Linked DNA regions of Drosophila melanogaster. The gene in region 1 interacts genetically with each later gene. Each region holds a gene or a part of one and is shown on either strand. Other genes may lie near its edges.

The links. Genes that interact genetically often act in the same process or in processes that back each other up.
Region 2: of sicily (region 1) and out, changing one suppresses a phenotype caused by changing the other (phenotypic suppression), as found in Drosophila melanogaster (one study listed by BioGRID).
Region 3: of sicily (region 1) and NLaz, changing one suppresses a phenotype caused by changing the other (phenotypic suppression), as found in Drosophila melanogaster (one study listed by BioGRID).

Annotation. Positions count from the first base shown.
Region 1 is NC_004354.4:11,888,941-11,894,245, forward strand, and holds sicily (severe impairment of CI with lengthened youth), read left to right. Parts: upstream 1-2,791; 5' UTR 2,792-3,097; coding exon 3,098-3,279; intron 3,280-3,348; coding exon 3,349-3,463; intron 3,464-3,789; coding exon 3,790-4,415; intron 4,416-4,649; coding exon 4,650-4,731; 3' UTR 4,732-4,805; downstream 4,806-5,305. Other genes in the region: CG1840 (uncharacterized protein), read left to right, coding at 1-28. UniProt on the Drosophila melanogaster protein: Involved in the assembly of mitochondrial NADH:ubiquinone oxidoreductase complex (Complex I) at early stages. Interacts with cytosolic Hsp90 to chaperone the Complex I subunit ND-42 in the cytoplasm.
Region 2 is NC_004354.4:19,318,525-19,324,438, reverse strand, and holds the start of out (outsiders), read left to right. Parts: upstream 1-2,332; 5' UTR 2,333-2,783; intron 2,784-5,914.
Region 3 is NT_033779.5:1,358,755-1,363,833, forward strand, and holds NLaz (neural lazarillo), read right to left. Parts: upstream 3,068-5,079; 5' UTR 2,904-3,067; coding exon 2,887-2,903; intron 2,825-2,886; coding exon 2,704-2,824; intron 2,173-2,703; coding exon 2,042-2,172; intron 1,983-2,041; coding exon 1,903-1,982; intron 1,837-1,902; coding exon 1,738-1,836; intron 1,620-1,737; coding exon 1,393-1,619; coding exon of another isoform or gene 1,330-1,392; 3' UTR 1,083-1,329; downstream 1-1,082. Other genes in the region: CG31659 (uncharacterized protein), read right to left, coding at 217-356, 418-516, 578-663, 713-943, 1,007-1,029.

The sequences.
Region 1 (5,305 bases):
CTGCAATGCCGGAGGATGCTGCGGCTGAGCTGCTTAACCAAAATGCTCCAATAAATAATCCAACTCACCTCTGTGATGCGGCAATTAAAATAGATAGGTTTTTGTTTACCGTTTATATTAAAGCTATGTTTTAGTCATAATGATTTTGATTAATTGAGAAAATTCAAAATATGCAATCATACATACAATGCAATACAATACATACATACAATCATACAAACAATAAACTTTTTAATATCCGAACTTACAATGAATCGTACTTTCAGATGCTTTTGACTTATTTTTGCAACAATTTCTCTATTTCTATTTTCAATAATTAACCACCCCTTTCACTTTTCAATTGATTTTGTAAAATTAATTTTTGGCCAAAATTTTCGCATTTTTTGTAAGGGGTACCATCATCAAAATTTGCAAAAAAATGAAAAATCCTAGAATTCCCAAACTTGAATGCAAATCGATTGGAATTTAAAAAACAAACTCAACGATGTATGACATTCCATATTTGAGTCATTATTTTCAATGTTTTGATCAAAATACCGAATATTTTTTTCACAAAAAATCTGGAAACTACTTTTGGCAAAAAACTCAATTTTCAAGTTGGCTTTTTTGGCTATAACTTGTCTAAAAATGGTCACAGAGCAAAAAGAATTACCATTTTATACTCCTTATGACCAATACTAACAACCCCTATCACTTTAAAACGGATTTTGTAAAATTAATTTTTGGCCAAATTTTCACATTTTTTGTAAGGGGTAACATCATCAAAATTTGCAAAAAAATGAAAAATCCTAGAATTCCCAAACTTGAATGCAAATCGATTGGGATTTAAAAAACAAACTCAACGAGGTATGACATTCCATATTTGAGTCATTATTTTCAATGTTTTGATCAAAATACCGAATATTTTTTTCACAAAAAATCTGGGAACTACTTTTGGCAAAAAACTCAATTTTCAAGTTGGCTCTTTTGGCTATAACTTGTCTAAAAATGGTCACAGAGCAAAAATAATTACCATTTTATACTCCTTATGACCAATACTAACAACCCCTATCACTTTAAAACGGATTTTGTAAAATTAATTTTTGGACAAATTTTCGCATTTTTTGTAAGGGGTACCATCATCAAAATTTGCAAAAAAATGAAAAATTCTAGAATTCCCAAACTTGAATGCAAATCGATTGGGATTTAAAAAACAAACTCAACGAGGTATGACTTTCCATATTTGAGTCATTATTTTCAATGTTTTGATCAAAATACCGAATATTTTTTTCACAAAAAATCTGGAAACTACTTTTGGCAAAAAACTCAATTTTCAAGTTGGCTTTTTTGGCTATAACTTGTCTAAAAATGGTCACAGAGCAAAAAGAATTACCATTTTATACTCCTTATGACCAATACTAACAACCCCTATCACTTTAAAACGGATTTTGTAAAATTAATTTTTGGCCAAATTTTCACATTTTTTGTAAGGGGTAACATCATCAAAATTTGCAAAAAAATGAAAAATCCTAGAATTCCCAAACTTGAATGCAAATCGATTGGGATTTAAAAAACAAACTCAACGAGGTATGACATTCCATATTTGAGTCATTATTTTCAATGTTTTGATCAAAATACCGAATATTTTTTTCACAAAAAATCTGGGAACTACTTTTGGCAAAAAACTCAATTTTCAAGTTGGCTCTTTTGGCTATAACTTGTCTAAAAATGGTCACAGAGCAAAAATAATTACCATTTTATACTCCTTATGACCAATACTAACAACCCCTATCACTTTAAAACGGATTTTGTAAAATTAATTTTTGGACAAATTTTCGCATTTTTTGTAAGGGGTACCATCATCAAAATTTGCAAAAAAATGAAAAATTCTAGAATTCCCAAACTTGAATGCAAATCGATTGGGATTTAAAAAACAAACTCAACGAGGTATGACATTCCATATTTGAGTCATTATTTTCAATGTTTTGATCAAAATACCGAATATTTTTTTCACAAAAAATCTGGAAACTACTTTTGGCAAAAAACTCAATTTTCAAGTTGGCTTTTTTGGCTATAACTTGTCTAAAAATGGTCACAGAGCAAAAAGAATTACCATTTTATACTCCTTATGACCAATACTAACAACCCCTATCACTTTAAAACGGATTTTGTAAAATTAATTTTTGGCCAAATTTTCACATTTTTTGTAAGGGGTACCATCATCAAAATTTGCAAAAAAATGAAAAATCCTAGAATTCCCAAACTTGAATGCAAATCGATTGGGATTTAAAAAACAAACTCAACGAGGTATGACATTCCATATTTGAGTCATTATTTTTAATGTTTTGATCAAAATACCGATTATTTTCTTCACAGAAAACTGGGAAACTATTTTTGGCAAAAAACTCAATGTTTAAGTTCGCTTTTGTGGCTATAACTTGACTAAAAATGGACTCACAGCAAAAAGAATTACCATTTTATACTCCTTATGATCAACACTAACCATCCCTTTAACTTTTTAATTGATTTTGTAAAATTAATTTTTGGACAAATTTTCGCATTTTTTGTAAGGGGTACGTACCATCATCAAAATTTGCAAAAAAATGAAAAATTCTAGAATTCCCAAACTTGAATGCAAATCGATTGGGATTTAAAAAACAAACTCAACGAGGTATGACATTCCATATTTGAGTCATTATTTTCAATGTTTTGATCAAAATACCGAATATTTTTTTCACAAAAAATCTGGAAACTACTTTTGGCAAAAAACTCAATTTTCAAGTTGGCTTTTTTGGCTATAACTTGTCTAAAAATGGCCTCACAGCAAAAAGAAAAGAAGTCAAGAAGATTACGCATGGCAAAAAAGCAATATTTACGGAAGATAATGTATTTATATACCTAAGCTAAGCTTTATATGGTAAACTACCTAAGCTAAGCTATAATAATGCATTATAAATTTACCAACAAGTCACATACAGCATTTTGAATCTTCCGCCAAATGAAATTTCCGCGTAATCGCGAATACCCCATATGTAGTAACTTTCTGACAGACCGAGTGCGATCTGGCAGCACCGCTCAGAACATATGTTCAGTTGTCTGGTGGAAAGAAGAAGCACAGATGCGGCGCCTGGTGCGAAATTGGAATTGCCGATTGTTATTTAACGCCAAATCCGGCCAAGAAATTGTCAGCCATGCCGGAATTCACCAGGAGGCCAAGACCAATGCGATTCCCAGGGAAAAGAAAGTGATTGAGGCGGACAAGAATGGATACGGGGCCAAACATTGCATGAGTCTAGTGGAGTAAGTAGCGCAAACTTGTCGATTGAAGTTATCCGTATAATTGAACATGGATCTATTCCGGATAACCAGGAAATACGACTACGAGAACTACCTGTGCACCTTGCTCCTACCACGGGAACTGCGACGTGCTGCCTTCGCCCTACGGGCATTCAATGTGGAGGTCTCCAGATCGGTTAGCGGCCATGTGAGTGGAGCATCGAAATTCCTTGGGGCTTATTTTTTAAGTTAGAATAACGTGGCGCCTTAAATTCAGACTCCGTTCAGACTCTGTTACTCCGCATCAATATTATTGTAAGCATAAGTGGCTTATGTCCGCATCTCATGAATATTATTACCATTTCGAACGGTTTCACAAATCTCTTAATTTCTTATGTACACTGCAAGAGTATAATTTCTCTCCTTCCTTTAAAACGGATAGAGAAATTCGTAGAATAAGCAACACTTCGTAGTTTTTAAACTTCTTATTTCTGTCCAGTAAAATCGTTTATATAATGACAAATATCCTTGCAGCAAATTGAGCCGCAAATAGCCAAAATGCGCCTTAAGTTCTGGCACGACTCCATAGACAAGTGCTTTGAGCCGGATTCCCAAAGATCGTACGTGGAGGACCAGCCTGTCCTGCGCGAACTGAAGCACACGGTGGGCAGTCGCAAGCTAAATAAGGTATATTTGCGCCGTCTGGTCACAGCACGGGAACGTCCGCCCACGCATGCATTTGAGTCGATACGCGAGCTGGAGGAGTACACGGAACAGACCTTCTCTTCGCTATTGCTCCTGCTGTTGGAGGTGGGCGGAGTGCGTGACCTAAATGCTGATCATGCCGCCTCCCACTTGGGCAAGGCCCAAGGCATCGCCACCCTGCTGCGATCGATACCGCTGGCAGGACGTCAGCAGGCGCCCTGCATTCCGCTCGAGGTGCTGGTGCTGCATGGCGTCAGCCAGGAGCGCATCATTCGCTCTAAGAGCGACGACAAGGGTGTCGAGGACTGTATATTCGATGTGGCCAGTGCCGCCAATACGCACCTAAAGCTCGCCAGGCAGCTGCACGATAAGGTGCCGCCGCAGGTGCGCAAGATCTTCCTCTCCGCCGTGGCCACGGATGCATATTTGGAGCGCCTCCGCCGTGCCAACTTCCTGTGAGTTCCTTTGTTTTATATTGCTTTGTTTTATATTACGACAAACACAGGAGAGAACCAGCTTCTTTTTGTAGTTAAGATGTTATTTTTATCCAGTTATAAGTACGATTTGCCTTTATTGAGACTTCTTTATTTCAAAACCTAGCTATAGTTTGTTGGTTGTTCAGTATTCATGGAGCGGACCCTTCTTTTTATCAATCCCCATAATAATATAATAATTTTCCCATCTTATAGGCTAACCCACAAGAGCTGCGTAGGCCGCGACACCTTACTGCCAGCACGTTTATTCTGGAAGTCGCTGCTTAATCGGTTCTGATAGCGATTATGTTAGTATGTAGTACGAAATAAATTCTTCATTGTTGACTTCTTTAATAAAAATCACTTTAAAATAAGAGCTCTTACTTTTTCTCGAATCAATAGAAGAGGATTTCCAATGTTTATAAGAATACGAATATGAATCGGATCGGGGATCTTTTGGATGAAATGGGTTAAGAACGGTTGCAGGAATATCGCTATCTCGCTTCGAATCGGGACGTAATTACTATCGATGACAGGTGCACCAAAGGTTCGTCCCGACGAAGGTATCGGTGGATACGATGCAAGACCCGATTGGTACAGTAGTTGCTAGCTGATTTCAGAGCGTTTCAGGCGCAGTTTTAGTTTTTTATGAATGTTAGAATTGATGTGGAAAGTGTGTGTTGGATATTAATGAGAACGGAGCAGTGCGACGATCGCTCAACAAGATAAGCACCGTTTGTTTTTGGGCCCGTTTCCGGCTTCCGGTTGCTAGTTCCGGAAAAATTGCAACGCCTACTTTACGCGTACTTTTGGCATGGTGAGTTTTTGGCGCGCTTTCTTCGCACTCCTGGATTGAACTTTGTAAACCCAGA
Region 2 (5,914 bases), 7.4 Mb from region 1:
CACAGCGAATTTTTGCCTTCCAATGCTGGTGTGATGTCTCATCGCCATCCCCATCATCATCATTGCCATCGTAGTGAATGAAATGATGATGTATTCGATTTCCATAAGCACGTACTACCTGCGGGCACACACATGTATGTACATACATACGTATGTATGTATATTCCATTCATATCCCTATGCACAAATGTACATACATATGTATGTATGTATGTATTATTGCACATATTAATTCCGTCATAATTGCAGGGAATCGCTCTCGATTTGTTTGTCCATTTATCTCCGGCTGGAGCATTGTAATTGCTTTGGCCAACAGAGTGGCAATTGCCAATCGGAACAGCGAAACGCGAGTGGAGTGCCCGCCAAACCGCAAACACCTGTTGGTGCAAAAGTTGGCAGAACACGGCGAGAAAACAGGGGGCCACTTCTCCTGCTATGGAATAATAATTTATTTATGTATCTACCCAAGAACCGATGGACTGTTGATGTATCGTTTATATTATTTAATAATGCCGAATAAATTATTAAAAACAAAAACTAGCAATGCTATATTCCATTGGCCATCACACTTTCTCCAAGTGCAAGGTTAAGGTGACAGGGGCGATAGGTTGCCGCCGGAACAAACGACTTACTTGTGTCGTCGTATCTAAGGAGTTTTCATGTGGGGAGAACTAGTGGGAGTTGGGTGAGAGAGCGCGGGCGAGCCAGAAAGAGAGAGAGAGAGTGGGCAGAGTGCACAGTGGAGCAATGCGGTGAAACCGAAATAGAACCGTGAGTCAGATTAATTAATTCGCTGTGCACTTGGTAACTTATTGATGGGACCGCAAGGATTGACAAATGAAGGATGGCTGGCTCATTACTAATTGATAAATGATCGAAAGCTTGGATTTTCTTTTCTTTAAATTGATGGGGATTAAGGTAAATGGTTTACATAATTACTTTATTGCCGTCGTAAAAATGAGAAATAGGATATACGGAATCCTTAAAATATTACAGGAAGGGATAAAATCGTAATTGTTCTTTTTTTTTACGAGCGACCAAACGATCGTTAATTGTGGTTAACCCTAGAAAACCTCTTAGGGGTTGCTACGAGTGAGGACTCAATACTTAATCTAGCCCAACCAAATTTTGCTACACAGTTAACTTTGGTTAATCATGAGTTCATTAATGTTTTTATGTTTTAAAGGACCTAAATATGCAATAGATATCAGGTATGAATTATAAATTCATTTGCATATGTTTGTGCATACATTTTTATTTTTTTGTATTCATCAGCACCGAAGTTCAAAATTGTTCTCTGTGTATGGGTATTTGTCTACCAACCAATTAGTGGCTACTGTCTACCTGGCCTGCGACCTTTGAACTTGCTGTGTGGCCGGCAAGTGGCAACAGTTGGTCGGCCATAGAGCGGCTCTATAAAGATCTATTTTCCCCTTACTCTCTGTCTCTCTCTCTCTCTCTGTCTGTTTGTAGCTCTCTCTTTTTTCCCATAAGATGATTTCTGAACGCAGATAATTATTCTTATTCTTATTATATTTTTGTATTAATTTGAGCCAATAATTTTGCCTTTTTCCAAAATTAGTTAAGCATAATAATTTCTATTATATTTCTTATTAATTTAGAAACGTGTTCAGCTCAAAGCTAAACAAAAACATGTCAAAAGAAACGGAATTTTTGTTCAGTGCAATAAGATCTCTGAGCGGATCTATTCAACAGTCCAAGTTCTACGTCGTCATCATGATGGTGTAAACACATTTGCCAAATCACATCACAGCCCACTGTTGAGCCGGTCTTGTGAGAGTGCGATAGAGAGGGGTCGCCCAGGCCAAGACAGAGAGACAGAGAAAGAGACAGGTGGAGAGAGAGGGAAGGCTATTGCCCGGCAACTGCTAATTGGGATGGCTAAATGCTGCATTGCATCCTCTGCCGCGATTCCTGCTGCACTTACGGTGCATCGTCGTCTATCCTGGCGCTGCCCACGCACGAAGAGAGAAGTTCACACTCTTCCCGCCTTCCGCCGGCGGTACAGAGCAAAAAAAAATTTTATTAATTTCGGTTAATTACAAATTTGTACCAGGGACTTAAGCTAACGAATTTCAGAACCGAAACATTCATAAGCTTATGCTTAACAACGTAATTATATAAAATAAATAAAATTGGGAATTTGCTAGCATGCCAAGCATGTGATGTGTAATGTGATCCTTGGTCAAGAGATTTACATTCTCTCTTGCTTGCCCAATGCAAATTTCTCTCAGTGTACGGGCCAGCTCTCTCCGACCATCTCGCTCTCGTTCCGCCGTTTTGCTTTGCCAGTGACTTTGCTTTGCTTTGGCGTAGAGAATGCTATAAAGCAGACCGCAGCAGTGGAATAGCAGCAAGTCGACTGCTGGCCGCGTAACAGTAAACACACCAACGAGCGGACGTACACGGAGCGAAAGAAGAAGTTGGCTACCACGAAAGAGTTATTGTTTGTTAGAAACACCAAGCGCAGCAGCAGCAGCAGCAGTACAAATATTATTGTGTGCCGTCCGAAGAGAACAGCTGAGCCACACGCTGTTTTTTAACGCTGTTCCGTTCTGCGGCACTTGCTGTTTGTTATCCGTATCCGTCGTGTTTCGTCGTCGTATTTGAACTCTCTTTTTGTTACTGTGCATATATTTTTGAAATCTCTGTGCTGCACACAGCGCAGGGGGAAAAGTGCTAGAATTAGCAGATCATCAAGACATCTGGCTAACCTGTGATTTCCAACACACCCGAAGGCAAATTGGCAACAAGTTACCACCGTAAGTCTCGTGTCGATCAACAAGTGAAGATGTTAGTTAAGTGTGGCAAAAGAACTGAACAAGAATTTATTGCATTTGCAAATATACATATGTACTATACCGATAGGAACGCGTTTTAAGAAAGTAATCATGCTTTTAATTTACGTGATGTGTGACTGTTATTTGTGATTCAATATAAGAAGATTAAGAAGATTAATAAGATTTTGTGAAATTTTCAAACTATGCCCAAGACAAATGTAGCCCACTGTTTTGGGGGTAGGGGATTTTCAGAAGCTTTGCTTTTGAGCATAAACCGTAATTAGAAGGCATTAAAAACGTGTGATTTGGAAATTCGTGAATTAAACCTTATAGGATTTCTCTCTCTCTCTCTCTCTGTGAGAGAGTGTGAGAACCCAAATTGAGTTTAAGAATTAGCTGAAGTTTCCATAATAACCACTGGCCAAGTGATTAGTTCACATGGTGGGTGGAATCCGTCTAGTCCAAACCATAATCCCCTGCCCAGTCTGATCTGATCCCGGAACCAAATTGAGTTTTGCCAAAGGTTTCAGCATTTTTCATGTGCATTTTTTTTTCATCTAACCATCGACGGGGAGCAGAAAATGTTTACCAAATTGAATTACACATTTTTATGATGTGCTGGTGCCTTGCTCTTCCCCCTTCCTCAAAGCCACCGCCACCCCGCCGCCTGACAGGCCTCAGGTGCTGTCCTGAATCTGGAAATCCGTGTGTCCGGGTGCCGAAGCCGGAATGGAAGGAGTCCACGTTTTCGAGAGCGGGAATGCATTTATGGCGCCGCCATTAGGGTGGACCAGTAAATTAGGTTAATTGTAGAAAGTAATCGAAAGCTTTAACAGCACCAAATTGCATATTCTGAATCAAGGAGACTGTATTTTTCCCACACTGCAAGTCACATTTCAATATGTAAGTGCTGCATTGAATATGTACATGTTCAACTTATAAATGTGTATTCTATATATATATATATATAGGCACATAATCTATAATCTGTTTTGTAATCACTACTGCTTTTTGCAACTTTATGGTAAAAAATACTTTGTAAATCCTTTGGTGTGCACCAAAATGAGCATGAATGCATAAGCAAACATAAGCGCTTAATTATGAAAACATACCGATTTAACTAGAGTCCTGGATTATAATTGACCGATTATTTGATTAAAAGGCATCCGAGGCATTCAAGAGCAACCAAATATTGTTGGCCGTTGATAACCATTGCTGGTTGCCAAGGTTTCCATAGTATTTGCAATCGGCTCAGAAGTGAAATGCTCTGTCTGAAATTCCGACTTAACTCCCCACCAGATAACCTGTTGCATTTCGCAATGGGGTAAACAATGGAATCACCTGTGCGCCCCCACATTTTGGCCTTCATATGGAAGCACATTCGTGCGCATTCATCTGGAAAATTGATGGTAAATTTCGCATTTAGTTTGATTCTCAATTGAATCAACAGTTCTAAGCCTACTGCTTACGTGTTTGTGCGATGATGATGATGATGTATAATGGTCTATCCACCTTTCGCAAATTTGCAATGGACAAGGAGGCGGTGCAAAGGTCTGTACATAAGTCCAGAATCTCAAGGGGTGATAAGCCTAAAAAAAAGGCAGACTGTTATATGTCAGATACTCGTAGATAGTTAGAGGGGTTTTTCAATGAAAAACTTAGAAGTGTTATTTTGCCTTCTGACACTTCACAATGAATATTCAGAAAAAAAAAAATGGGGAATTAACAAAGCAATATGATTATGATATGATATTATATCAATAGTTTTATTTATCAACATTCAGGTGTGCACTAATTTCTTGCCGCCAAAAACAAAGCCAATCAATAATTTATGTAGATAAGCATTTTGCTTATAACCATGCATTTTCATTATTGAATTGTCATTTTTTATCTTAGTTGAACCCAACTCCGCCTCCTCCGCGTAGATCGTGTGTCAGCCACTTGTCTTGTTTGACAGCACACCCAAGTGGCATTAGCATTTGGGGACTGAAACTGGAACCATTGGCCAGTTTGCCCAAGAGAATTTCTGGGATTGGTTTTGGGTTTCTCCAGTGCACCGCAGTGCACTCCTCTCGGGCCACCACTTCAGTTCACGGAAGGCACCACTTGGTGGGAGTCGGCTTGAAGTACGTGAGTTTATTTGGCTGAGCACAAAAATCAGAGACTCGAACAACACACAAGATCGAAAACAAAAAACAAAATTAAACAAAAAATATAATAAAATAAAAGAAGTGAAGTGAAGAGCAGGGTCGAGAGGAGAGGAGGGGAGAAGTGCCTAGAAATGGTCTGAAATGTGCATTAAACGCTTTGCATAGGAAAGCGACATGGACATGGTATGGGGATTGCGCCGGAGATTGACATTCCCATTCCCATTCCCGTTCGTATTCCTATTCCATTGGGCTACCCACTCCTATTTCCATTTCCCATTCCCTAACCCAAATCCCTACTATACCATTTTCACTTCGAGAATCGCAGAGAACACACAAAACACACATGTGAGAATGTGCCGGGTGTTGGGATTATTTTGTGGCCGGGTGAGGGGCCTTCAGGCCTTCAGGCCTTCGGGCAATAACAATCATTCGAAATGCGCCTTAAAATAGCAAACACCAAACACGTTGCTCATAATCTCCGATGCAATTGAGTGCTGGCAGCCAGCACATGAATGATAACTTTGTCCAGGCCCGCTGGAGTATTAATAGCCATTTCTAGTCCCTATTGAAAGCGAGCATGACGCCCGCTGCCATGCCAACCAGCATCCCCATTGAGCTCCTAACCATGGCCGACCAACCAACATCGTCCGAACCTGCAGAACAAAGCCGAAAAAACGTCTCTAAGCCACAGTCCAACTTCAGTTTTGGTTGTCGCCACCAGGTGTCAATGCTTTAAATTATGTTTTACATTTCCACCAAAAAACACATCATCAGCCAACCAACAACACCATCATTTGCACTTGTTGTTGGCTAATTAGCGGCGAGAAGTTTTTTCTAACACAGCAAAGCCCATCCATTCACCCAACCGTTTGTTCGAGTTAGCGAAGTTCAACTGTATGGCTTGGTGCCCGAAATTTTTGCCCACTCCTGGGATTTGGTCTTATGCATTTTGCAATTTGTTTT
Region 3 (5,079 bases), on another chromosome or scaffold:
CCAACATTTGTTTTGCTCACCTAGGCCGAGCAAATAGGGCAGTTTTGTTGGTGGTAAATGTGGTTCACGTAGAATCACTATAATTTATATAAGTTAAGCTTTTAAAAACGAGTTCCCAGAATGGGTTAATTTCCTTAATCCGAAGTCAAAATCAATTCGATATGCTAATTGCGACCTACAAGTTACACTTTTATTTTAAAACAAAGCTTATACTTTTCAGGTATCATAAGGACACGACTCCTGCGGAACTTTGCTCATGTCACCTATAACAAGGCCGGCACTTTTTCCAAAGTACTGAGCCATATGAATAACCTGAGTACTGGGCAATCGTTTTCGGGTCTGGATGACAGCCCAATCTATGGGATCAATGGAATCGTATTAGGGGAAAGTATTTATTATTCACAGCACTGCACTCACGAAAGCTGAATATTTTGCTGGCATCAAAGCACATAAATCGAATGGCGAAGTTCACATAATCGGTATCCAGAACGTACATGAGAACGCCCTCAGGAAATGCTGCAATAAAATACGTTAATAACTCGCTTTAATTGGTTTAACTAATTCCACCATAATTTACCCGTACTTGTTGTGCCCAAAACATACCGCCCAAATTCTGGCTCCACGTTCAGTATGTCTGCCTTTCTCATCTTTACAGTACCAGTTCTGTAAATATGGCTTATAGAGTTGTTTCAAAATATTTAAAATCACTCACTGGGTGTTCAGTTCCCGGGCCACAACGCTGAATTTATTCTCTTCCTTCTCTATGAAATCCGTCGACTGACATTTCTCCACTCGCAACGAGAGATGAGGATATATCGAGTGGGTGTACCACTTTCCTTTGAATCGGTCCATGTCCAAATCCCCAACAGCCGTCATATTGGAGGGACAGGCTCCGTGAAAGGCCCGCATGGCCATGGAGGATTGAAGATATAGGATTGCAGGGCTTTCGAAGAATTATGTAGGGTATTCAATATTCATATAGCTGATATTCAGAGGCTGCACTCACACGAAGATCTTCCACTTGATCATGCTGGAACGGTTTGAGTAAAACTGCAAACTGAATCATTTAGTCTGGTTTATTTGAATCCACTGGATACGGTTTAATGAAAAATAATCAAGATTTTGCGGAGCACAAGAGTTTCGCACAGCGTTTAAAACAAAAGCGGAACCGTTCCATTGAGTCACTTGATCGTGTACATCTCTCAGTTGTATAAAGTCTTTACATGATCGGTTTTCTATTTATTTATTCCTCGCAATAACAACAAACTTAAATTGAAGCACCAAAGAACATTTAGCATCTGAAATACGACCTCTGTGATAACATGACACTTAGTAACTTAGGAAGTTCATAAAAATGTCGTAGAGACGCTCGTAGAGGCGTCGGAGCCATTCTCATGCCTTTTCAATGGCATTTGGCACCGTGGTAGACACGAAGTCATCCACATCGAGGCCATCCTCTCCGGCCAGCCCAGTGCCATTACCATCCAACCGGGGACAGTTCTTCTGAACAGTATCGATGAGGAAGGCCTGGGATACATCGTTGTCTTCCAAGATCTTTCTGGCCGCATCAACCGCTTCCGCTGAAGGTTCACGCTGACGAGTCAAGATCCAAACAATTTCTGCAATTAAAATTATAATTATCATTCTGGCGTAAGTGCTTGTCACTCCATTTTAGTTTAGTGACACAGTTCGCATATGAATATGCTGACAAGCTGACTAGACACCCCATTAACTCACTGAAATTGGCCAAAGGTGTTACACTGGTGCAGCTGTAGACGACGGCGTATGACTCGTAATCTGTGCCCAAAACCAGGTAGTTGGCCTTCGTCAATGGCTCTAAAATGTATTGGATAAGCAAAAAAATGTTTGTTAAAGAGACCACCTAAAATTGGCATTACTCACGCGTCGGGTAAAAGGCCACGGCCAATTGACCGGGTCCAAGGACCTTGGCCTGTCCAGTTACATTCGAGGGTTGTCCGGTGCTTTTTCATCGATTTTTTGATTAAATGGAGTGTTTCAGATTATACTACTTGATACTCACAATCGATTGATGGCCGCATTCACCACCGAAACAGTGCTGTTGTCTATGAGACTGTAGTTGGCGTAGATGCACTTCTTGCCGATCTCGAAAGCAAATGGATAGGCTGCGTACTCGTACCAGACGCCCATATACTGAAGTATTCGAAATAATAATAGTAATAAATACAATGTAAGAATATTACGTTTAAGCAGATGGTCATATAATAAGTAATACAAACTACAGCACGAAGTGTTTACTTGTTATTTAAAACTGTGGAAATAATTATAGCTACATTAGATAAGTAAGGTCCGATAATTAAAAAAATACCAAATACAAATATTTACCTAGAAAGCTGTAAGAACAGTGCACTTTATTAATATGAAAGCAATTTGCTTATCTTATCATTATAGTTTTCGCTATCTATCAATTTTGCAAAACTAACGAAATTTTAAATTTGAAGATCGAATTTCCCCAATTGGTAAACCATGTGAAGTTTTACTAATATCGCTTAATTCGATATATACCCTTATATTTAAATTTTAGTTCATAACTATTGAGACTTTGAAGTGCCTTTATTGGCATGTTCGCTTGCAACTGATCGTTTAGACTTTCCTATTCTAAATCTATCAGAATGACATGATTAACATGCGATGCGAGATGGTTGGCCTAAGGTCAGAACTCACCGCTTCCGCGTCGAAGGTGTCCAGTAGCTTAACATCTGGGCACTTGCCAGGAAATGGCACCTGGGCATGGGCCACCCATACTGCCCCAAATACCACGGAGATAAGCAGCAACAGGTGCGAACTGTGGGGATGATTAATGAAATGTAAATAACTTGGAGCTAGTGCTCAGCGAGTGGCGCTTACCTCGAGTGATGATTCATTCTGGAATATACTGGGAGATACGGTCGCTATCCACTGAACTTGGTATCCGTTCTACTTCTGGCTTAGAACTGAGGTTCGACTGCATCTGCATTGTATCTTTTATACGCTGGATGCGAGAGCTTTGCTTTTCGCGAGCGAGCTTTTCGAGTGCGCCGAATCGGATTGCCCATGTGAACAAAGTGAAATGCAGACGATCTGATTGCAGAATCAGAACATATTGCTCTTGTTACAATCGCTAGGAGGCAGCTATGGAAAACAATCCCAATACAACTCACTTAATTTCTGTATGCACATCGCGATAATTCGCTTTCGATAAGGGCTTCCGCATGCAAAGCGGAACAATTTGCACTGCAATTACGGGGGTCAATTAATTAAGAGAGATCGCAACTTAGTAGGTTCAATGCCCTGATATGGCAAAGTGAAATTGAATAGTGAGTAAGCAGAAATGAATTATTCAGTTCGCAAATCAGAATGACTATTTCAGTTATTGCATACGTATTAATCAGACACCTTTAATTTAAGTTACATCTTAACCATTTATATAATTATTTATATTAATACCTTTGCATATTCAATTACTTCCAAGTATTACAAGTTTTATGACACTATAATAAAAATGTATTTCTGCTACACTGATTTTACTAAAATATTTTAAATTTGGTACCACTGCAATATTTAAATAAATAAATGGTATTTCTTAGCATCCACCCACAGGAGAGCTTTTCCCTTCATGTGGATTCCGTTTGTGGCGCCATCTCTTCGCACTTCTGCCAGCGCCATCTGTTGAGCGCTTTGCCGGCGTTGCTCGATATAACTACAAATGTTCGCATATTTTGAGGTTCCTTCAGCTCGTATCCTTCTTCAGCTCGTTCTCGGACTGGTCAGATGAATTGTTGACAGTGGCGAGATTTCTGCGGTTTTTCTCTTTGCAGCTGGGAAGGAAGAGAATTTAATTTCCCCATATATTATTAAATTAATTAAATGTAAACCACAAATTGAGTTACATGTGCAAAAATGCCCGCAGGACGAACGCTGAAGCGTCTGTGTGCACGAAGGGGTTTTTAGGGGCAGGGAGAGGCATTTCAGGTGATATATGTTTCGACAGGAGTGGATTGGTAAGTAAGGAAGGCGTCATTAGTTGTAAAGAAATCATATGGCCCATGATCAAAAAATATCCTGTAATGAAAACAAAACAAACGATACATCAAATCCTTTTCTTGGTCCTTTTTCTTCTTATTATATGACAAATGGCTTCGATCCACCCTCGCATGGTGCACTCATATTTTTATCCATGTGCGGCTAGCGCAGATTTTGAATGGCCAGCCAACTATTCGGGCAAGGGAGTTCATAGCGCATTGCCCCACCGAAAGGATTGTGCTTGCCCCATTTGGATGGATGGATGGATGTCCTGGCTCGGATTTGCTGTGGCTGCCACTGTTTGCTGCATGCAGCGTGTAGTAATTAAATTTAAAATATGTACGCATTTGCCGGACATCTGAGCTTAAAAACAGGTGCAATCCTTGAGGGCTGCCGGCGGAGTGGGGTTTCAGGGATAATTTGATCAAAGGAAATCGTAAGCCTGCAGCTGGGAGAGGACAGATGAGAGCTGGTTATTACAGGGCATAAGTGCAGTTTTCGGAAGGTGCAGCCATGGGCGTATGCCAATAGTAGTACAGCGGGGTTAAGCATCTTCAGCTAGCTACCTTTAATGTCATGAAATTGTGCTTAAATAAACTTTCAGGTCAATGTTTAATATTTCCCCAGCTTGGTCCCCATTGTAACCTGTCACTGTGGTGCATTTGTGCGGTTTATGGTGCATTGACAATTGGAGATGAGTGCGTGAACACAAATATGCCTTTCAATTACTATAGGGTAATATACTTTACTAAAGTCTCCATAATACCAAAAAAACGTAGAGCTAAGCATCAAAACACAATATTCGAAACGAACTTGGATAAGAGTGAACGTATCTTTAATGAGTAAACACAAATGAAGTCCCAGTTTTGAAAAAATATAGCGGTTCCATTAACATAATGGTTTTAAAAACTGGATCGTGTCACGTTCGCTTCTCGAAAAACCCTGCCCACAATTCAATCACTTTGCCATTTTAAGTGCTCGAATATTTTGTGGTTATTCATTCGCTTTATGGGCATTTTGTTGAATGTAATTTGATTT